3 linked regions of the Arabidopsis thaliana genome follow. The protein of the gene in region 1 interacts with the protein of each later gene in a pairwise test. Each region holds a gene or a part of one and is shown on either strand. Other genes may lie near its edges. The genes, in order: AT5G59950, MAGO and Y14.

Region 1 (8,167 bases):
TAGACATCCAGACAAATACGAGGCGCTTCCAAAGTCTCTTTCGGGTATCTTATTTTCCTCAGATATATCGTATTTTCATCTTCTTTGTTGGATAATGTACGTATATAGGGAACTTTAGTTATCAATCAAGTGACTTTGATGTATTAAGGAAGACTATGTTCTCAACAAAAACCCAATTACTGGCCTTCCAGCTAGACCATGTAAACCACACATGCTAGAGATCATCACATCCTCTTTCTAAGATGTTACTTTGTTTAATGCCTCTTATACATCTTCTAGGCAATAAATATTGCTTTGTACTTGTCAAATCGGGTTGTTACTGTACGCTCAAATCGCCATGCAATTTTGCCACTGTAACTAACATCTCTTTGTTCTCTTAGTATCTCCTTGAGGAAGTTGCTTTGGAGCAGATACGATTGAAAAAAATTCCCATTCAGGTGAGTTTCTTCATTCTCATGATGGTTCAACTGATGGAGAACCTGGAGATTGACTTTCCCATATACCTATTTTCAGGCTCAGAGGGAACTGTATCTCTTACTCTCTAGGTTCATTTTCTTTTACAATTCAGGTAAGACATTTTTCTCTGAAAAGTTATCATTGGAACCAAAGCGTTTCTTCTTTCACTGACAAATTGTTGTCCAGTGGATAAACTCGATAGCTTCTTGAGGAACTTCCCAGAGTTTCCAAATGCTTTCTTGATTGGAGGACCTGGAGATTTCCTTGTTATCGAACTAACTGATCAGGTATAGAAGCAAAAGCTTTATGACTATCTTCAATTTCTCTCAAAATTGTATCACACACATCACTCATCTAATATTTCTTATTTTATTGCGGCAGCTGCAAAAACTGAAGGTGGAACCAGTGCTGCTACATTATCTTTCTCAGATGAAGATTCTTCAAGGTACATTTCTCTCCTTTAGGAACTTGTCTAGATTCTGCATCTAACATGGAATCAAAGTTATAAGAAATGTTTGATTTCATCTGCAGGTATGGAACTGAGAATGACTACTAGCACAAGGTTAAAGGCGTGTTTATACAGTTTTACCTCTCCTGGAGGTCCAATGTACCCGACAAGAGCCGTCCGTCATGCAGCCTGGGATGCTTTGGATTCCCTCTTTCCTGTGAGTATTACCTTGTAAAAAGTTCAGGTTTAGGCCCATTGTTTTGATTGCAAGATCCAGTGTAAGTGTGTATGGGTTTCAAAAACATCATCTAAGAGTTTTAGGCAATCACCTAAAAATCTGAAAGCTCCCAAAGTTCAGCAAAACAGGCTCAAGTTCGCTCGTTTGATGTCTTTAACACTTGCATATAGATCACATTATGGATAGGCTTGGCTTGTAACATTGTGATGCTCTTGTCTTGCAGGTTGGGCGTTACCCGAGGCATCTCATTAGTCTATTTTTCAGGCTGCTATATCCGTGGTACTGGCCATCCTCATGCTGGAACTTTGTGGTTTCTTGCATTAAGGCGGTACTCTATTCTATCGTAAGGCTCATCTTTTCACGGCGAGAAAAGCCAAGGCAGAGCTGAATAGCTTTTACTTTTGATGAAGCTTACAGCAGGAATCCAATCCTTGTGTATATAATGTGGTTTTGGTCAAAGAGGCAAACCAGTGAACCTTACCTTCACCTGTATTACTGTCTACAGAGAAGATAAACTCCGTTTTGTGAAAGATCCCATGGATAAGCTTTTGACTTGTTTTGTTGTCATTGGTAAAATTGTTATTTTGCTATAGAGGACGTGTATTGTGTCCAGAAACCCTTCTTGTGTAGAAGATAAACCATTTCGGCCTTCTGTTTTAGTTGTATTGGATCTGTAAGAACTAAGAACCCTTAAACTTTTCACCATTCATGGACCATGATATCATCCAACGTTGTGTATATTACTAATTCGACATGCTTAGAAATAGAGAGAGAAACTTAAAAAGTTGAGACTCGCACAATATACAGAACTGGAACGATAGATTCTGAAAATCCTCTCATGCATGGAGTAACACTATTGAACAATTTTGCGTAAATGGTTTGATACTTTAATGCAAATGAACAATATTCAATCAAAATTCTGCGCTCATAATACCACAAGGCATGGCTTGGATAAGAGACACAATACAAGTAACTAAACCTGATTTCTGAAAACTCTTTTGCCTGCATATGATCTGTAAACGAAATTGGTATTCCTTCCTCTGCCTTTCACTTGAGGGTATTAAGATAGACAACAACTTTAAATAACACATATTCTCAATTCTGTAAAGTCATTCTAATGAAACAAATGAACAACACAGCCAAAAAGGCGCTAAGTGGTAAAGCCTCTGGCAAACATTTTCTCGATTCTCTTCCTCCTAAAACCCCTACCGGTTTGAGAAGATCAGTCACGTTCCTTAGTTTGTCTCCATATCTCCAGAATGGTACTTATCAAGATCCGCATCAAGATCTTCCGCAGAAATCTTCTCTGCAGGGCCCTTACCAGGACGCCTACCACGACCACCACCACCTCGGCCACCGCCTCCTCGTCCACCACCTCGTTGTTGACCTCCTCTCCCTTGTCCTCCTCTGCTAACCCAGTAAGACAAACACACTTTCAATACACCTCACAAGATGGAAGAAGCTTTTACATATAACACATAGTAATGAGCAGTGCTTAATCTCACCTCCATGGAGCACCATTGGAGTTTCCATTCGCAGGTCTACCAGACGGGGCTGCAGCAGTTTGAAGATTAGTGCCCACAATCTCTATCTTCATGGGTTTTCCATCCAGCTGAACATCATTATACTTCTTCACAGCTGCGAGTGCATCGCCACGCCGAGAATACACTACTTCAGCAGTTCCCTAATGGTAATAAAGTAGTTTACAATACTTCAGTCATCAAGACTCAATAAGAGGAAGGAGACATACAAAACTATCATCACAATTCACAAGTACCTTTGATCTTCCACTTCTATCAAAATGAACTGTGTAGCGTTTAAGTTCTCCAACTTCAGCAAACAGTTCCTGCATATTAACAAACATATTCATATTAACTACTTCGCAGGATCGAATCCATTATATTTGGTATCTATTCAGGTAAGACGATGCTAGATTCCAGGAACCCTAACTATGCAGATTAACAAAGAATTAGGGTAAAGAACAATTTAGGCACCTTGATGTCTTCGTTCATGACACCGTAATCCAAATTGGAAATGTAGAGCTTGGTTCCAGTTTCGATTCCGGCGGAGGAACGTCCCGATCGGTGATCTTCAGATCTATCGGAGAACATGTCGTGACCCCAGGTGGACTCCGGCGCCTATACAACCAAATGAATCCGTTGTTTGATATTTTCCACGTATTGAGAGATTGATCAACACCAAAAGCTTTTTTAAAGAAAACGTCAACGCAGAGTCTATTTTCCATTATGAATCGGCAGATCTGAGAAGAAAGATCCGGCGAAACTAGAGAGAAGAAGAAGAAGAAGAAAGAACAGATGTAGAACGGATTTGGACCTTGGCTGATTGGTATGGAGCAGATCGGGTTGATTTCCGATTAGGGTTGTTGCGGCGAGTCGGACCCGGTCCGGATCCGGATCCGGTTCCACGAGCGGGGCCGGCTCCACCACGAGACTTACGGTTCTTGGCGATCATGTCGTCGAGAGACATATCTAATCCAGTCGACATTTCAAAGGTTCTCCGATCGACGTTTCTCTTTCGACGGCGGGGGAGATAGAAATAATACAAGAGAGAGAGAGAGAGAGAGAGAGAGAGAGAGAGAGAGAGAAAGAGCAGAAAAAGATCTACAAAAGTCGAAATTAGCCGACACTGGTTACAAGTTACAATATTAAACAGTTATCTATATGTATATATATATTGTTGAGGTTAGAAAGAAGCATGTAGGTTTCGTGGTGTAGTTGGTTATCACGTCAGTCTAACACACTGAAGGTCTCCGGTTCGAACCCGGGCGAAGCCATTATTTTGACATATTTTTACCTTGGTTATATATACTTGGCCATTCGGTGTATAGCAATTCAATATTTTCAATATGTTACCGTATAACAATGATTTTCATAACTATAAGTGATCATGCTATCGCATAACAATGAGTCTGATTGCATTCTAGTTTCTTACAGATAAAACTGGAAGAGTATAATGATAATTAAAGCTGTGTTGTGAATTCGGGCAAAATTTAGAGAAATCTTAGAAAACATAACTAAGAATAAACAAATATCTTTGAACCTTGTAGTCTCTAAGATATTTTCTTGCATTAATCTTATGAGTGATGGAATTATAAACTCTTAGGCATATCTTTATATAGATAAAATATAGAGACATGGAAACCCTTAACAGTATCTATTAGAATTTAAATCACAACTCAGTTATGTTGCAAGACGAGCAAAGTAAAGAAGTTCAAATTAAAATCAGATATTGAATTTGGACTTGTAGGGCAGCTAGCGAATGCAACCATGAATAATTCACTCATCTTGTAAAATATAAAGGGTATCGAAGTTTCATCCTTTCCACACAAAATTAAACAAATTAAACACTCAATCAACATGATCTAGCTGAAACCATATCAGAAAAACATGAACGAGAACATATGTATACATTGTCTTCATCACAAGCTTTTAAGATGACGGAGACCTTGCATCGAGAGCGACACATGCTGCATAATGGTCGAGTGTTGTGATTGTTAAGAACCACATAAAATTTCTTTCCCCCAACAGTATCAACCATGCGTCCTGGCATGAGACGTGAGAAATCTCCTAGTACGCATTCCACATGCAATGTGACTCCACAATCAAAGCTTGTATAGAACCATTTACTTGGATCTAACTCTGTCTCGCATATATCGCACCAATACTTTCCATTCGCCGTTTCACCACAAGATAGAGTGAGAGGGTGCTCATCGTTTCTATGCCTTATCTTTAATGGCAAACTAGCGCAACTTAAACACAAATCAAAGTCACAAGCATTGCAACAAAGCATATGAACCGTTACCTTATGGCATGCATTGCAAGAGTGATTTTCCTTAGAATCAAAATATAGTGGATGCAAATGGCCATTATGAACGAACGGCTCAGAAAGAGAACCACAATGTACATCTATCTCCCACCCTCTTTGAGATGCGTACTTAAAACCAGTAGAACATTCACCACAGTACCCACAGTCTATCACATCACGAACACGACTACTTGCTCCCACTAATTTGAATGGTGTGGTTGCAAACACGAGTCTCTTCTTCATAGGAAGATTAGCACACTTTTCATGGAGAATGAAATGACATTCCTCACAACTGTAGATCGGATCAAATCCGATCGGATATGTACATGCTTCACATAGTGCGTACGCGTCATGAATGATGCCTTCTTTGTGCAGCCTTAGAGTATGTTGTTCATGACTAAAATGACTTATCAAGTTATCACCCATTACCTTGAATGGTGCAATATCTTCTGTGATCTCAGATGTCCCTTCTAATTCCACACCATCCCATACATTATCATGTACTGCGCATTCCCAGTGAACTGCATAGTTACTGCAAACGACACAAGCATATGCCCCACAATCCCTGTCAACAATTTCGCGGCAAACTCCGCAGTTCAAATATCCAGGGCCAAGCTGATGAGTGTAAGAGATACGATGGTCGTGACGGTTGATGTTTATGACTTGAGGTAGGTTGATACCATTCCCATTGACAACGAAACCACAAGGAAGGCACATATAAGCTCTGCTGTTATATGTCAGCGCGGAACCTTGATATGAAATTCCGTTTAGAAAGAGAGTAAGTTGATGCTTGTGGGTCTTGGTATGCTCGATAAAAAGAGGTGGTGGGCGTTTAGTACAACCAAGGCATGATGTGAAGTTGCAAACAGAACAATAATAAAGCATATTTTCTGGTTGTTGTTCACATAAAAGACAAATCTTCTCAGCATTATCCGTAAGTGATTCAGATGCGATGAGCTTGAGAGGATGACTAGGGTGGCAAGGATGATTTACCTCTTTTGAGAGATGGACGCAATCCACGTGGAAGTACAGATCGCATCCAAGACAAGAATAGGAAGGTCCACCAATAGAATCCTTGCAAACTTCACAAGGGGCCTTCTCCTCTCGTTTCTTCAAAAAGACAAGTGGATGGTCATGACAGATAGGATGTTCAATAGCAGGCGGTGATGGGTTTATCCCACAAGTCAAATCCAGCTTGAACTCACATGTGGGACAACTATAACCAGCGGCTTCCAATCGCTTTTGTCCACACAAATCACATGGAAGATCTCCCAGGCCATTGGTGAGAAAGAGAGGATGTTGTTGGTGGAAAGAGTGGCTGATCTCAGATGGGGCCTCAGCGCACTCCTTATGAAACCGAGCTTTACAGTCAGAATCATTGCAGACGTACCCGCCGTAGACGAAATCTTCTACACCGCAGCCTTTACATGTACTAAAAACGATCCGAGCCGAAGGAAATATAGGGTGCTCGTGAATGGGTAGCTTTACTGCTCCTGTATCCATGTATGATGTATGTGAATGAGATTCTTTCTTTTCTCTTTTTCTTTAGGAGAAATGGAAGCTGAACGTGGAGGTTAGAGAAATTTTGATCCCATCCAACTTCCAACAAATATGATACAGAGTTTCCAGATCAGGATTGTAATATTTTTATTTTAAAGTCAAAATCAAAATATTCGAATTTGATCCGAAATATGTTTTTACTTTTTAGATATATATTCTAAACTTATAAATCATGATTTGATAGCATTGACTATCTATTTCCGAGAAATATTACATTGCACAACATGCTGTAGTTGTTATTGTTGCGTTCGATATTATATTTTAGCAATATTGTTTGATATGAATCGATTTAGCTTTTGGATTTCTATTGATTGTCAAAAGTAGTTGTTCAAAAAGGGGCTCCTCCTCTCGCTTCTTCAAAAAGACTAGTGAATGGAGAATAGTCATGACAGATAAGATGTTCAATGGCAGGCGGTGATGGTTTTATCCGCCCGCCCATAAATCAGGTAAAACATGGTCTTATCCGTCTGTCAAAAAAGATTTTATAATTAAATAAATTTAATTTTTTTTATTAGGTGACAAATTCTAATTAACTGGAATAAAAGCGGTAAATAAAGGTTCACCGCGAATATTTTTTCAAGTGTGAAACCACCAAGAAAGATCCACCGGTTTATTGCAAAGTACTTCACAAAACATGAACGGGAACAATAACATAAGTCTCCAAAGTAACTGTATCGATCGATTTACTGGTATAGAACGATTTAATTGGATCTAACTCTCTCTCGCATGTATCACACCAATAATTTTCATAAGATTAAATAGGGGAAGAATTGAGAAACCACCGTAAAAGATACACTCATCAATTTAGAATAAAACATCAAAGCCTTTTCCTCTCACATGAAAAATCGTAGCAATGCCTCACAGATAATATGAGAAATGCATCAGAAAACATGAACGTGAACAAAAAAAATATACAATGTTACCCTCACGAAACTTAAGGATTACAGAAACCTTGCATCGAGAGTGACACCGGCTGCACATTGGTCGCGTGTTGTGATTATTGAAAACCACCTCCACGGTATATACCCGGTAGTCAATGGTGCATCCTGGCATGAGACGTGAGAAATCTCCTAGTACGCATTCCACATGCAATGTGCCTCCACAACCAAAGCATGTATAGAACCATTTACTTGGATCCAACTCTGCCTCACAGATATCACACCAATATTTTCCATTTGCTTCTTCACCACAACATAGCGTGAGAATGTGCTCATCGTTGCTATGCCTTATCTTTTTTGGCAGACTAGCGCACCATAAACACAAATTGAAGTCACAATCAGCACAACAAAGCATATAATCTCTTATGGTTTTTTGACAAGCATTGCAAGGAAGCTCCTTTTGCTTTTGATCAAAATATAAGGGATGTAAATGGCCATCATGGACGAACGGCTCCGTAAGGGAACCACAATGTACATCGATATCGCTTTGCCTCCTTTCTTGGGACTTGTACTCGAAACCAGTAAAAAACATTCCACATAACTTGCAATCTAAAACCTTGCAAACATCATTACCCGGTCCCAGTAATAGGAATGGTAAGGTAGAAAAGACAAGCCTTTTCTTCATAGGGAGATTAGCACACTTTTCATGAAGAATGAAACAGCATTCCTCACAATTGTATATTCGACCAAATTCGACTGGAT
Region 2 (7,640 bases), on another chromosome or scaffold:
AAACAAACGCTGACCAGCAGATGTTTCTTGTTTGATAGCCAAGTCAATGCTGCTGCATTAATAACAAACCCCAATAACAGAATAAGTCACTCACCAATCTGATGCAAGCGCTTTAAAGCATAGCCGCTAGGATAATTGTAGTAAGATGCCATGAATGTTACAACCGTGCACCCTGCACTATAGAACCAGGTTTAGTAGACTAGCAAATCTCTTTCCTTCTCTTACATAGCAAAGATAATTGTTTACTATTTCTACCTGATTGCAAAAAACGCTAGCATAACCATATTCACCAGTTTCCAAATCGTTTTCTTCCTATTATTGTAGCTGTACAACAAAATCGGATTATATTAAGAGGTCGGCCCGCATTGGTAGTAATTTAAAGTGGCATACAGAAATTATGTGTATCCAAACTCCAAAGAGCTCTTAAGATACAGAATCAAAGAACGTCCTAGCTATGATTGAAAGCTTAGCTAGCAAACATCTGATAGAACTCATACATTCTGCTAGCAGCAACTGCAGCAGACAAGTTGAACATTGGCACTGAACTAATGATAAATCGGAGTTCCTTCATAAATCAAGAAAGATAGGTAAGCCGATGTCAGAAAATGGTTAAGAAACGTTGATGGCTACTGAGATAAGTAATCCATCTGAATACCTTGTGTGGAAGTTTAGAGTATAGTATAACGAACGATAAAACTGGAACTATAAAGAATGGAACCCTTCTGTCAACTAAAGTACCAAGCTGCATAAAAAGAAACCAAATAAGAAAATTTGTAGAGATACAATTAGCGATCCTAACTAGAAAGGAACAAGACAAACACTATCACAGATGTTAGGAAGTCTGGTATTTACCAATGAAAGTGGATAAGCTACAAGTAAAGACCGTGGGAGTGCTGAGGTGAAGTACCAATGTATGGAATGTGTCTAGTTTAGCAACTAATTTTCAAGGACAACACATCATTTCATACAAATGCAAGTGCCACAATATTAAACTTTGAATTGGAAATTCCAAACGGTTATCATTGTACAGAACGCAATCCTTTAATCAGGCAGTAGAAAAATGCTAGAACATTATGCATCATATGAAAAATAAATCAATTGAGGAAACAATTTTTTTGAAGGATACACCCCAATCAGAACTCCGGTTTAGAATGGAGTTAAACCAGAAAACTTCAAATTCTGGCCAGACAAACTTCTTCCACATGATAGAGTCAACGAAAATGGTAAGACCTGTGCTAAGGATTATTCCATGACCACAGAAAATAGACTCGGGAATTAGTGTCTGAAGGGAAAAAGCAAAATAGATCACAGAAAGAAGAGGAATTTTAACCAACCTACGGCCAACAGAGCGGTTCCAACACAATACTTAAGTGCTTTCCAGAAGGAGATCGATTTGGTCTGTCATTGACAAACATAAAGCACCCGCATCAGATGGAACGGTAAAGTATACGGCCAATTATACATATACAGAAGTTGAGAACCCAAACTATTTAATATTCGTCACCAGCTCACCAATAAAAGTTCAAGACCAATAGGCCCAAGCAGTAACATCGTATCGCATCTGAAGATTACAGTGGCAAAAATCTGATTATCGGATAACAGAGATGTCAGCAAACCCCATAGTTCTGGATAGCATGACCGATTTTCTAAATCTATAATCGAGAAAATATGTCACCACAAAGATAATACATACCAGGAAACTCAAAGCTGGATAAAAATTTCCCTTTAACCAATTACCATATGCCAGATTGACTGCAAAATCAAAATTTAAAAACATAAGCAGAACCTAGTAAGGCCTACGCTAGATGGGTCATGGGAAAGATTGCTAGGACATCTGAAGGACCACTACTAGTAGAGTAAGATGAATAGAAGTAATTACCTAATCCCAAAGCTAGAATATTAGGAAGAGGACGAGTGCAGTAGAAAAGAAAATGAAACTGAAGACTGGTGAAAAGTACAAAGAAAGTTTCCACTTGATTTCCAAACTTTTTTTTTATCTGACAAACCAGTAGATTTTGGTCAGTGGCAGTATATAGGAGAAAAACAGCCAACAAGATGCATGTAAGAGATCCCAATTCCAAGGACATGGGAAGGGACAAAGAATCAGATAGGGGAGTCAGAAGTGTGGTATGGAAAGAAGCACTAAAGGAACTTCATACCTGAATCCGGAAAAATCTTAGTGTGGACAATATGATGCAGCCCAACACCAAACGAGCTGCAAGACAAAATGATAAAACTATGATGTGAATTGGTTTTGTCTGTGTTTAGGGGAAAATAGTTAGCGATTCATTAAGGAATTATATAGGGAGGGAGAAACAGAAGAGAAACCTGCAACAAGGCTATAAACCTTGGGGAAGCCAAGGCAGCTGATAATTGATACAACAGGTGATGCAAAAACAGAGACTATGAAGGCTCCTGCAAGAACAAATCAGAGTGGAATAAAAAAAAAACCATCCACTAATGTATAATGATAAAAAAAAAACCATCAACAGGTGATGCAAAAACAGAGAGCGAAATTCAACAGCCCTCCTTACCAATAAAAGTTCGAGGGACAACACCGGGGAACTCCAAATGATCATACTGATAGGAAAAAAATAAAAAGACAGAAGTCGGTAAAAATTGACATCACTCTAGAGATAAAAAAAAAAAGAGTAAAGCTTCAGAGAAGAAGTAAAAAGAGAGGTCACTCACAGAGTCCAAATGATGGCGATGGTAAAGAATGTCGTGCATTGACTTGAGACGAGTGAAACGGTTTCAGTAAAACGGAGAAAGAGTGTGACTCTAAATACTTTGAAAACCTACCTGAACGTTGAAGCTCTCTTCCACCTTAGTATATGGTGCCATGACCACATAGATTGCAGCTACAGATCCCAGAATCAAATCATATCCTGCTCCCACCAATCGAAAGTTTCAGTTATATAAAAAAAGAAAAAGAGATCATCTGGCCGCCTAAGAAGACGAAACGAAGAAATTACCATAGGATTGAAGAAACTTGGCCATTTTCGAATCCGTCGGCATCGTCTCTGTATCGGGGAATCGGAAATCAGGCAGCCCGGATACACACACAATTTCGATGGAAACAGAAAAACTAAAACTGGGCCTTAACTTTTCGGGTTACAAATGGGTTCTGGCCCAATATGTAAGCCCATTACCTTTTTTCTTTTGCGGGGACGGACTTAAAGAAGGGCAAAGGACACGGAGAGGTAATCTCGATCTCGAGAAAGAAAGAAAAAAAGAGAAGGCATGGCCGCGGAAGAAGCGACGGAGTTCTACCTGAGATACTATGTCGGTCACAAAGGGAAATTTGGACACGAGTTCCTGGAGTTCGAGTTTAGAGAGGACGGTAAGCTCCGTTACGCCAATAACTCTAACTACAAGAACGATACTATTATCCGCAAGGAGGTATTTCTCACCCCCGCCGTGCTCAAGGAATGCAAGCGTATCGTCTCCGAGAGCGAGGTCCTTTTTCTCTCTCTCTTCCGATTTGCTTCTCTCTTGTTAATTGTCCGCGTTTTGGTCAATCGACGCTATAATAGCCAATTAGGGTTTTAGTGATTTTGCTTCGATTTTTGTCGATCTAGGGCATCTTTCCTGACTAGTGTTGTAGGTTTAGAACCCTCTTCGTTGTTAATGCTATTATCTAGGAATAATGGATGATTTTGTACAACCTGACATGTGATTATTTGTCTGCGGGTAGATTCTGAAAGAAGACGATAACAATTGGCCGGAACCTGACCGTGTTGGAAAGCAAGAGCTCGAGATCGTCTTGGGTAATGAGCATATCTCATTCGCTACATCTAAGATTGGATCTCTTGTTGATTGCCAGAGCAGTAATGATCCTGAAGGACTTCGCATCTTCTACTATCTTGTTCAGGTCTCCTCTCTTTTTCTTCCACCCCTTGCCTTACCATCTTTTCTTTTACCTAATCCCTTAACTCTATTGGACTCGATTATATATTTAGGACTCTGCCTTTTAACGTATTCACTGTCTCAAACTTTAACATTTAGGGTTTGGCTGTTAACACTCATCCCTTACATGGTTCTGTAGTTTTTTTTTTTTTAGTTTCTGTATTTATTTGTGCTCTAACATATTCCTTTTGAAACTTTCATGGTTGCAGGACTTGAAATGTCTTGTTTTTTCGCTCATCTCTCTGCACTTCAAAATCAAGCCTATCTAGAGAAGAAAATCAGTTTGTGACATGTCAAGACGCGATGAATTTGTTGGGAACATGAGGACTTTGTGACTGAAGTTTGGTTGTTTTTATGTCTCTGGTTCTCTGTTTTTTTTTTTTGTTGGATTTGGGTGAAAGTGGGTATGTAAGATGTTCTACCTCAACTTTTGGTCCTTTTTTGTGTCAACATCCCATGTGAAGAACCTTTCATGAACCACAACCTATCTTCTAAAAACCATATACTTGCTGTTTTCTTATCACAAATCATTCACTCTCCCTAATGTACATCTACATATGATGCATGTTTCTTTTCCCTCAAGCCAATTTAAACTAAGGAATGTGATCTATCTAAAATACAAAGTATCAAAAACTAGCTGGATTAGTCGATAATTAGGATTGTTTCCATTCTAAAAAAACGCCCTCGGACCATTCAAACTGCTCCTCCAAAACCCGTAAATCTGGTTTTGCATTGAAGATATCAAGAGTAGCTTTTTATGAATCGGGAAGAACAATGGAGGATTCATTTGTCAGTGTCAGGCGGATTACTCACAGCCTAGACAGAGGACGCACCTGCCATTCATCCTCAGGTTAAGCACGCACTAGTCTCCTTTACCTTGTTGTAGTGTGTTGCAGAGAGTCACATGCATATTTCATCTTGTGGCAGGATCAGGTGCATGGTTAGGGCGGGGACTGGCTTGTGTTTGTGCACAGAAAAGGGATCACCACTCTCGTTATTCCTTTGATCTCACCCCTGCTCAGGCACCAACTAGCATCAGCTAGTTAGTTAGTTACCTTTTAAGATGGTCGGGGAAACATTAGTAGCTGGTTAGTTAGTTAGTTACAGCAGCTTTGGGTTAAGAGAGATAAACGCGAAGCCATATATATTGACAATTGGATGGTGTATAATTTATTGTTAGAAAACGAGTCCGCATTTGATATTCGATATTGCATTGCGTTCAAGGTGATGGATGATAAGTGGCTCACAATGCGGGATTCCTACATGGATTTTTTTTTTTTTTTTTTTACATGGATTTTAACGTAGCCTTTCTCCTCCATATAGCTTTGACTTTAAGAGATCAACTCAGTCTTCAGAGACTGAGTGTAAGTAAATTTGTGTTTGTTTGGCAGACGGTGCTGAAATCGACAAGGCATCAACTGGAGAGAGAGCTTCTACTGGAAGATGGGACCCGAGTCCAAGCCTTACCTTGTTTTAACCTCCTCCTCCAGAAAGAGTTAGAGTATATCTCCCAACTTAAAATATAGATGTCAATCAAAAAGCAAGCAACAATTGGAAAAATGAATCAAGAAGACTAGTATAGATCCAACATCTGGGAACCACAAAACAATCTCCAATTGCTGAGTGGATCGTAGGAAGGGCCAATTTACAACCCTAAACTTGTGAAAGAAGAATGAATTTTAATCTTGGCGTTATTGGGCCTCCGCTCCTCTGGACTCTGTCGGGCTTGATCCATTTTCGTTGCTGAGTGGATCGTAGGAACCCTAAACTTGTGAAAGAAGAATGAATTTTAATCTTTTGCATTATTGGGCCTTCGCTCATATTATTATTCAAGGCCCAAACACTGAATCTCCTCCTCTTGTAAATCGCGAGAGAAAATCAGAAAAGAGAGAGAGAGATCTCTGGCTCTGTATCGCTCGCTGCTCTTCCTCCCACAGATCGAAAACCATGAATCCTGAGTAGTAAGTTCCTTTCTCCATCGACACATACTTGGGTCGAAATTACCTCTGTTATATATTTGATTCTCCGGGTGGTTCCTAGGGTTTAATTAGCGTTTTGGGATTTGCAGCGACTATCTTTTCAAGCTCCTGCTTATCGGGGATTCTGGCGTAGGCAAGTCTTGTCTTCTTTTGAGATTCTCTGTAAGTTTTTTTTTTTGTCTTTTTCTTTCTCAGAGATCAAACACTGTAGCTTTCTACATTTGTTCATGTTTGTTGTTCTGCTGCAGGATGATTCTTATGTAGAAAGTTACATTAGCACTATTGGAGTCGATTTTGTAAGTTGATGTTTTCTTTTTTTTCTTCTTGCTACTGATGACGATGCTTTGATCTGACCTTTTTTTTTTTCTTATATATCTCTTGTTCAGAAAATTAGGACTGTGGAACAAGATGGCAAAACAATTAAGCTCCAAATTGTATGTAACTATTTTCACACTTGTCAAGTTAATAGCTCTACGTCTCTTTCCCTTAATTCATATTTTTCCCTCTTCACTTATTTTCAGTGGGACACTGCTGGTCAAGAACGGTTCAGGACTATTACTAGCAGTTACTACCGTGGGGCACATGGAATTATTGTAAGCAACATCTTATCTAGGTTCTTTCTGTTGACTCCTTTAAGTTTATGTCCTAATTTAGTTCTTGCACCTGGTAGATTGTCTACGATGTCACAGATGAAGAAAGCTTCAATAATGTCAAGCAATGGTTGAGTGAAATTGATCGTTATGCTAGTGACAATGTCAACAAACTCCTTGTTGGAAACAAGTCTGATCTTACTGAAAACAGAGCCATTCCTTATGAAACTGCCAAGGTATATATATGCCACTTGAACCAATTCTTTCTTCTCAAGTTTTGAAAATCATCAAACTCTAAGGCTATTATTACTTTCCTGATTACTTCGAAACATTCATAGGCTTTTGCCGATGAAATCGGGATTCCTTTTATGGAGACTAGTGCAAAAGATGCTACAAACGTAGAACAGGCTTTCATGGCAATGTCTGCATCCATCAAAGAGAGGTATTTATCTTACATCGTTCTTTTTAAGTAACTGCGGTTAATATACTCATCATACCTGATGGAACTTTTGCGAAGCCATAATCTCATTTTTGTAAGTGTTTATATAGATCTCAGAAAGTGTCACTGTGTAAGTGACCTTGGAGTGAAATAAATAAATGACTGATGTTGACCTTGCAGTGTTCAAATTGAAAATTCAAGTAGTTGTACTTAATCAATTTGCAGAGAGTGTGCGTTCGTGTGATATATGAGAGAAATTGATCTCTGTGGTTTGGATGCAGAATGGCTAGCCAACCAGCTGGGAATAATGCAAGACCACCGACCGTGCAGATCAGAGGACAGCCTGTGGCACAGAAGAACGGCTGCTGCTCAACTTGATTGACGTGACCAGCCTAGCAATATCCTTTCCAATCTTAGAACACGTGTTCCTTCTTTTGACTAGGCTCCAATTCACTACTACTTGGTTTTTACACAACATCCCCCCAAATCTGTCTTGTCTGTAATTAAGCTCCTTTGGTTGGTTATTATTCTGTTTTTCACGTTTCCTATTTGCTTTACCTCATGATGAGGTCCTCATCTTTCCAACATTCTTGTTTTTCATTTCTGCCTTTAGTGGTTTTCTATGGGTTTCTTTGCATAACAATGTTCTACGACTCGATTTAAAACCCACAAATTGTTTTTTCCTATATCAAACGTGATCATCATTGAAAACAAAGATAATCG
Region 3 (8,315 bases), on another chromosome or scaffold:
ATTATGTAGAACAAAATAATGAAATAGAACAAATATTTATGTACATAATCAAATAAATCTCACTCACACTAATACCAAAAAGAAAACGAACCTGCGAGAGAATCAAGAAGCGTGGACTTGCCGGATCCGGAAGGACCCATAATGGCCATAATCCGACCTGGTTCAGCATGACCGTTTAATCCATCGAGCAATCTTCGAGTCGGACCACCACTAAAGTTTGGTATAACCACCGTCAAATCTTCCCACGCCAAGTACGCCCCACGGCCAATCTCTGCCGGTGGCGGCGGACGTCGGCCATTGCTCGTACTCTCTAACTCCATTGTTTTTGTTTGATCTTGAAAAAGATCAAAACCTTACTTATTAGAGAGAGAGAGAGAAAGAGAGAGTTTTGTTTGTTCTTCGTCTAGGTTATTTTTATTATATTGGTTGGAGATGGAATTATAAAGATAGTGATTAATTTTTGTAGGCCTAAGGTTTTCTTTAGGTGAGACTTGAGAGCAACAATCAACAAACAACTAATTACATTTAATGGATGGCTTTAATATCATAACCATATATAGATACACGTCTATAGTATATAGTTTTTTTTATTTTCTTGCACATTAAATGTAAGAGAGTGAGAGTTGTGTGAATGAGGTCTAATATTTATACAATCGTCCATGTGTAGTAGTAACTAGTAAGCAACCACCTACTTATTGACATACTATTATACGTATGAAATATATTTTTTATGTCGGTTCTTGCCAACTAACAAGAAATTTCGTCCACACAGAAATCAAATGATATTTTTGTGAAATGAAATTTAACAGTGTGATTATTTACGATGAGATGTTTTCATTTAGTTCGAAATGAATAGAAACATCACAAATCAATTAAAGGATCCATATTTGGTTGTCTACTAATTCCAAGGGATTGATAGTGATACTTTGACAAATTTATCGTTTTGTTCACACATAGAATTATATAATTATCATTGTATTAGTTTTTGTAACTATAAGCAAGAGAAGTGATATTCGATAATTAATGAAGAAGATATATAAAATTAAGTTTGAAAAATCGTGTTTGGTTGAACATGTAAAATCAAGAGACTTGATAATTGATAAGTTTGAATGACATAAAGAGGTAGAGAACCCTCGCAACGAGTCTTCACAGGTGTTAAATGAAAAGGGAAAGGAATTAAATGTGTGGTAGTTGGAACCGATATAGTTTTTTTTTTGTATTATGCTTCATTATTTCTTTTTGGTCTATCCGTCCATTTATTATCTTCATGATTTTATGGTTATCTTTAGCTTTTTAGCTTTAGTATAGCGCTATGTCTAACCACATTTTTAAGCATTGTTTAGTATTTAACACAACCCTAAGTTATAGACTTCTTACTATTTATATCTAGTAGGTTTATTGGTTCTTTTTAAACGAGTAAACTGATACTAAACAAAAGTACCTAAGATTTCACAAAGTTTTGGTATAAAAAGAAAACAAAAAGAAACAAGATTTCCAGAAAAGAGATAGAAACCCAGATTCTAAATTCAACAGAATCTAAGGTATGGTCTTATAAGCCTTTGGCACCATCATTAACAAGAATACAAAACTGTTTTTTTTTTGTTGGAATCATGTAAAAGCATATCATTTTTTTTGTTGGTGACAACAAAAGCAGAACTTATATAACTGTTCCAACTGTTTCATATTTATACTTTTCAGCTGTAAGTTAGTATATGAGAGCCCTTAAAATAGATGGATACATAAACATAATGTGGGACTGGCTCAATGCACAAAGTATAGATGATTGATTCGTACAAATGAAATCATGCAACCTGTGAGTAGCAAGAAAGTACATGCTCTATCTCAAATCATCAAACCTTTGATGATTTCTTTTAACATATTTAGGATACGAATAGTTACGCCTATAAAAACAAACGATGTGAATATTGCCATTGATTGGAAAATTTCAGCCAAAATATTTAATAGTCATTTGATGATTTCTGTTAACATATTTAGGTTACCAATAGTTACGCCTAGAATAATAAACCAGTGTGAAATAATGCCATTGGTTGAAAATTCTTTGATTTTTTCTATATAATCATATTTGGTTTTCTAGTGTAATGGAAGGTCTTTGATTTTCAAATTCTGTCTGACCTAAATATGAATCAATAAGAGAATGAAAATTAAAACATTCTTCCTCATCCAATGTTTCTCTTCTTTTACCAATACAAAGCATTAAAACAGATCTCATGGTGTTTAAACGCAACAATCCCATGCAAATGCATAAAGAGATAAACCAATGCAAAAGCAGCCAAACCCTACAAAAACCCCAGAAAAAAATTTGTTCAACACTCAGCGTCTTGCATCAGTACCTTACAGATAAGAGAGGGAATCCCTAATACAGAGAGATATGGGGAGAACTCTCCACCAAATCATACAATCAGTAACGTCTTCTCGGACTTCTTGAACGTTGCGACCTCCCATACCTGTAAAACCCCAATGATCAATGGATGATGATTTAAAGAAAGGTATAACTACTTGACAAGTCACAAGTGATTTCGATTCATTAGCATAAAGACAGTAAAGTTTGGTAGGTGCTTAGTACAATATACTACCTTGTCAACTGTTAAAACTTCTAAGTCTATATCTTAATTGATACTTTTTGACACTCTTGACTTCATATCGGCACAAGATCAGACAAGTCGTAGCGGAACAGAAAAGAGATTAGGATACAAACCTCGAGTTCTTTCTCCTGTAAGATTCACCACCACTGGGACCGCTGCTGAAGGCCCAGTCAACGCTAACATTCTGTGTTAGAAGCTCAGCACCATTCATTGCTGAAATAGCGCTCTGTGCTTCTTCCTTCTTCTCATATTCTATCAAAGCATATCCCTTATCAAAAAAAACAAAAGCAAAGTGTTACTTCCACTTCCATGAGAACTCAAGCAAACTAAAGAAAAATAATATTTGATTCCTAAACTCGCATCTAGAAGACAGCTTATCTTATTCGACCCGTCATTTCTGACACTTTGAAGTAACTTAAACGAAGTGTCCTTAGGGAACAGCATTGCACTTTACAGAATATTACATCTCCCTCTTAAAAGCAATGTAACATTGCAAAGATAAATTTATCATTTTTGGCTCTCAATTTCAGATATTCAGTATTACATTGATTAACACAAAGCATGTCAAAGAGTAAAGTCAACATCTACGACAAAACAGTATTGCATTCATCTCTAAATTACATCATGACAACAATCCAACAAATCAAGCTTCACTATAACAAACCAAAAGGCAAAATGATATCAACATAACTAAGCAAAAAAATTAGCTTCACAATAACTAACCAAAAGGCATAATGACATCAAGAGCCACTAAGAAACAAAGGCAAAACTCCATACCTTGACATAACCACTACGGCGATCGAGATTGAGATTTAGATTCTTAATCTCCCCAAAATCACCAAAAGCATTGGTTATATCCTCCTCCTGTGTCTCCTCATGAACTCCAGAGACCAAGATAATCCATCCTTCAACGGCTACACATAAACACACACAACAAACAAATTCATCCAAAACAGTCCCAATTCTTCATTACCCTCAAAGAAACTATGTTCTATCTTCACAGACTCTAGAACCATTACATTTTTTATAATGGTTACAAACTAAATCTAAACCAATCTAATTTTTTTCAAAAAACTTCTAGGTCAAATTGAATCCCAAACACAAGGGGTTATGAGAAACCCTAGAACAAATTACTACCACAAATAAATCAACAACGCGAAGAATCAGTATGCCAACACTAAAACCTAACTAAAAACAGCGAAAGAGGAAGAGATTTAGTGAAATTACATCTCTGCGGACCAGGACGGCCATCTGAACCAAGTGATTCGAAATCGCGTGAGGAAAGACGACGCTGACGATCGGAATCTTTCTCCTCGCGAAACCCACGGCCTTTGGTCTTCTTTGCTGATTCGCCATTAGCTCCGGCAATAGCCGACTTAAGCCTCGGATGTCCCGCGCGTGGAGAAACATCAGCTCCGTCAATAGCTGTACCTTCTTCGTCCATAAGGTCATCCTCCTCTGGCTCGAAATCGACTGCTTCTGATTCTATGTTCGCCATGACTTCCGCCGCCGTAAGATTTCCGATAGATCTCTTCCCGTTTCGCCGACTGATTTTTTGTTTCCTTTGTTTTTGGGGACGGAGCTCTTTCTTCTATCAAGATATTTCTCTGCCAGTGTTGTTTATAGGAATATATTGGACCTTAAGTGGGCTTATTTTGGGCTTTTACGCTTGTATTTCTTTCTCACGCTAGTTTTTCCTTTTCCCTTTTAAACAGGCTTTGATTAAACTCCTCTCGTCAATGTTAGTGGGCTTATTTTGGGCTCTTACTTTTTTTATTTATTCTTTCACGCTTCAGAGTAAGCTAAGCCTTTGATTTTTTAGGTTTCTTACAAAACAGGCTTAAGCCTTTGATGAAAACTTCTCTTGTTAATGTTACATTATCTGAATTTCATATGTCGAGAGTGAATCATGGCATACCTTTTTAAGCATTCATGATGTCAAATTATTGTATCACTTCATAATTAGGATACTATCAATCATATTGTGGTATTTAACACTTTACAGTCGATACTGGTCCATCTCTTTGATGGTGATCATCATTGTTTTATCCGTTTGCATACAATCATTATAGTCGAATATTGCTTTCTAATTCCCACTCTAATCTCAAATAAATCTCGTCCAACATGTTCGACCAAATTCTAAGAAAGAAAACATAGAGAGATGCAAAGCATTTAAAGAAAACAAATCTTAGTTCGTCGCCAATAATTACTTACGTCATTTAGAGGAGGGGAGAGCATTAATTTGGAAAACATTTATTGTCTGGTTCTGTTGACTAAAGTAGTACAAAACTCTGGTCAATTTACGACAACTATTTAACAACACACGTGTCCTTAAAGAAGCTATATCGACCGTTGATATAATATCTAAAGATAATCTTAACGGGTAGGATTTGGAAATGAAGTAACCGAAGACCGTACACTCGTTACAGTGTTGAGGAAAAATTAATGTCATGCGCGAGTTTTGGTGTGACGGGGAAAAGAACAGCTGCCTGACAAAATTTTGTTTTATGGGATGGGATAGGGTAATTGTTGTCGATGAGCCCTATACTAAAAATAGTAGACTTCACAGTTCAAGTGACCGTTTGTCTTTAGCTGGCCCGGTCATGAGAGTTAAGGGCAAAAAATATTTTACGGGCAGGTCCTAATATTTATAGAGTATACTTTTTCTTTACGGGCAGGTCCTAAGATTTATATAATCTATACATCACAATGCTAGTTTTCACTTAGCTATGTTCAGGGATAAGCCTGGCCCTTATTCATTTGGTTTTGTTTTTTGATAGAGTTTTTGACCTCATTTTTCCCCTTTTACTTGCAGGTTGTAACGCCAAAGAGTTTGGGAGAAAAAAAAAATTAAATCCACCAAACAGTTGTAATTATCAATTTTGTTGGAACCAAGTGATTCCCATTACTATAGGTGAAGAAACTAAAATCTTTATTAGTATAGAGTATAGAAAGTGGCAGACCAAGAATTTCTTTTTTTTTTTGGGGTCAAATAATTTAGTTAACTAAAAAATTACTTTATATAAATTATTTTAACTAAATAATTTAATTATCTCCAATAATCTTTTACTGCAAATATAAATTGTTCTTCTAACAAATCAATCTAATAAACAAAAAAACAAAAACGAAAACAATGTATTGAAAAAGCTACTTTATCCATGAAAAAGGGAATACATAGTGTTGATACCTACTAAAATCTGTTACTACAATCTTTTTAAAATCTGTTAATGCTCTTAATTTGCCAAAATAATCAGGTCAATATATATGATTTCTTTCCATTCTAATCTCGCTCTTTACGAAACTTGAATATCCCTAAAAATCGATAACAGTTTCAAAGAACAATAAAAACAAAAAAGGTTCGATTTTTAAAAAAAATTGTTTTTTTTGCTAAATGCTTTTTACAAAGACAAAATCATACAAAATTCTAAAAGAAACATACATTTATGATTTAACGCAAACCCAAAAAGAGCCTTCACCTTTTTTCTCTTCGTCTTCTTCACCATCTTGTGGGGAAAAACAAAACTTCTCCGGCCATGGATCCTGGCGACCCAACTTCAATAATCTTTTCAAAGATCAGAACTTTCGAACTTGAGAACGCTTCCAGAGTCATTGACTATTTTCTCTTGCAAGACATGGAACAAAGAGATTTGATTCGAATTGCTTTTGGTCCTGACTCTCTCATACAGACTTTCTGTCAGAAAGCTAAAGTCGATTTAGGTTTTTCCTCGAACGGTTTCTCGAGACCCATCAATATCCATGGCCAGTCATTGTCCTCGTCTTCTCCCAGAAATGGGTTCTTAGAGTTCTCGAGAAACCCTAGTAACCCTTTGTCTTCTTCGTTAACTTTGAACACACTCAGAGATAATAAGCCTAACTTCAATTCTAGTCCTTTTCGTGAAAGTTCATCACTTTTTGCCTCTTCTTCCGGCGATGAGCAGCAGCAACAACAATTCAGTAACAACTTTCTGTTCACAAACGACGAGGACCCATTTGCCAATTCTCACAAGAGGAGTTTCTCTGCTAACGATGCTTGTTTTGAGTCAGAGGAACCATGGTTTGGAGGAGGAAATGGTTGTCATCAATTTCCACAAGGCGGTTTAGTTGATGGTTTTGGTTCCTCTGGTGTCTTTGGATCGCCGAGTGAGATGGATTACATGCTTGAGGGGATGATGAGGATGAAGTTAGCTCAGCAAAAGAGCATGGTTGCTGCTCAGTTTATGGCGGCTTGTGGCTCTCCAATGTTGCATAGGTAAGTTTGGGATTTTTTGTTTTCTTTCTCTGTGTATGTTCTGTTAGGAAAGACTTAAACTTTACACAACAAGAGTAGTAGCATTTTAGCTTGAGGCAAGTTTTTTTAGATGGTTTTGGTTTGTTCTCTTGGTTTTGTTGTATCAAGAAGTTTTGAGCTCTGAGGCTTGGTTTTCCTCATGGTGATTGTTTCTTTGCAGACACGGATCAGGACATTTTGGAGAAGAATGTGGTAACTATTTTAGTCAAGGAAGGCATGAAAGAGAGGATTCAGTCTCTAAACAGATTTACTTGACATTTCCATCTGAAAGCTCCTTCACTGATGAAGACGTCTCAACCTATTTCAGGTAAATCATGTGTTGTGATATAATCGGGTTATAGATGTAAGGAAGGACTCTGTTTGGTGTACATTTGGATTAGGGAGTCATGTTTCTTTGTTTTGACTGTCATGTTTTTTTTTAATGTGTAGAGATTTTGGACTTGTGGATGATGTGAGGATTCCATATCAGCAGCAAAGGATGTATGGGTTTGTAACTTTTGCTAAGGCTGAAACTGTGAGAACCATATTAGCTCGTGGAAACCCTCATTTCATATGTGACTCACGTGTGCTCGTTAAACCATACAAGGAGAAAGGAAAAATCCTTCAAAAGTAATGCTTGGTCCTTGTTACTATTTATCATGTTTTTTTCTTTCTCTTGGGCGTTTTCTTATTATAGTTTGGTGAAACAATAGCAGGAGGCAGCAGCAACAACTACACGAGTTGTTGGAGAGAGGGAACTATTCACCTTCTTCAAGTCCGTCTGGAAAGGACTCGAGGGAACTATATGAATGTCGCTTAGGTTGGTTTCAATTTGTTAAAGAGACTTTAGAAAAACAATTTCTTGTTTCCTTCTTACTGAGATAGTAACTCTTCATTCTATATTCGTTACCAGGACCAAGGATGTTTTCAAAGAAGACACAGGAGATGTTGCGAAGAAAAACCGAGCAAGCTGATTTACAACATGCCATAGAAGTAGAACTCCAAAGATGAAGGTTCTTGAATCTGCAACTACCTGACATGGAGAATAAATATATTCACCATCACCACCAGCGTAGTCCTTCTATTGGTTCTCCCTCTCATTTCCCACCTCGATTCAATCATAGTCTTCTCTTTCAATCAGGAAACAACAACGAAGAAATCATGGAAGGTTGTTGTTGTTGTGCTCTCTACGTTTTAAGCTTTCTTTTTCTCGGTCTTTATTCATTCTTCTCCTCTTTTGTTATCCTTTGGTCAGGCGACAGTGATAGAAGTGAGAAAGATCTTCAACAAGTAGCAACCAGCAACGAAGAACGTGGTTACAATAACGGTTTCTACAAAGGGTAAATGAAGTGATAAGAATCAAGGCTTTTTTAAGTCTTCTTGTTACTGAAATATGATACTTTAGTTCTTACAGACAGTTAACTAATTATTTCTCTAGGCAAGAG

What was found.
Region 2: the proteins of AT5G59950 (region 1) and MAGO interact in a two-hybrid assay, tested with the Arabidopsis thaliana proteins (one study listed by BioGRID).
Region 3: the proteins of AT5G59950 (region 1) and Y14 interact in a two-hybrid assay, tested with the Arabidopsis thaliana proteins (one study listed by BioGRID).

What each region holds. Positions count from the first base shown.
Region 1 is NC_003076.8:24,135,715-24,143,881, reverse strand, and holds AT5G59950 (RNA-binding (RRM/RBD/RNP motifs) family protein), read right to left. Parts: upstream 3,944-8,167; 5' UTR 3,648-3,943; coding exon 3,477-3,647; exon of another isoform or gene 3,281-3,476; coding exon 3,137-3,280; intron 2,989-3,136; coding exon 2,920-2,988; intron 2,827-2,919; coding exon 2,648-2,826; intron 2,553-2,647; coding exon 2,378-2,552; 3' UTR 2,015-2,377; downstream 1-2,014. Other genes in the region: AT5G59960 (K-stimulated pyrophosphate-energized sodium pump protein), read left to right, coding at 1-44, 381-437, 514-568, 643-743, 838-901, 988-1,121, 1,366-1,530; AT5G59940 (Cysteine/Histidine-rich C1 domain family protein), read right to left, coding at 4,515-6,470; AT5G59930 (Cysteine/Histidine-rich C1 domain family protein), read right to left, coding at 7,386-8,167. UniProt on the Arabidopsis thaliana protein: Export adapter involved in nuclear export of spliced and unspliced mRNA.
Region 2 is NC_003070.9:400,005-407,644, reverse strand, and holds MAGO (mago nashi family protein), read left to right. Parts: upstream 1-3,188; 5' UTR 3,189-3,243; coding exon 3,244-3,459; intron 3,460-3,697; coding exon 3,698-3,874; intron 3,875-4,118; coding exon 4,119-4,178; 3' UTR 4,179-4,545; downstream 4,546-7,640. Other genes in the region: ALG12 (homolog of asparagine-linked glycosylation 12), read right to left, coding at 95-177, 256-324, 498-565, 656-742, 853-924, 1,127-1,230, 1,335-1,398, 1,513-1,584 and 8 more; RA-5 (RAS 5), read left to right, coding at 5,857-5,870, 5,978-6,050, 6,137-6,184, 6,275-6,322, 6,410-6,481, 6,559-6,714, 6,817-6,920, 7,199-7,295. UniProt on the Arabidopsis thaliana protein: Core component of the splicing-dependent multiprotein exon junction complex (EJC) deposited at splice junctions on mRNAs.
Region 3 is NC_003070.9:19,100,653-19,108,967, forward strand, and holds Y14 (RNA-binding (RRM/RBD/RNP motifs) family protein), read right to left. Parts: upstream 4,282-8,315; 5' UTR 4,102-4,281; coding exon 3,831-4,101; intron 3,518-3,830; coding exon 3,381-3,517; intron 2,872-3,380; coding exon 2,717-2,871; intron 2,466-2,716; coding exon 2,420-2,465; 3' UTR 2,139-2,419; downstream 1-2,138. Other genes in the region: ABCG12 (ABC-2 type transporter family protein), read right to left, coding at 92-320; AT1G51520 (RNA-binding (RRM/RBD/RNP motifs) family protein), read left to right, coding at 6,137-6,852, 7,052-7,198, 7,321-7,500, 7,587-7,690, 7,784-7,863, 7,942-8,038, 8,126-8,210, 8,309-8,315. UniProt on the Arabidopsis thaliana protein: Core component of the splicing-dependent multiprotein exon junction complex (EJC) deposited at splice junctions on mRNAs.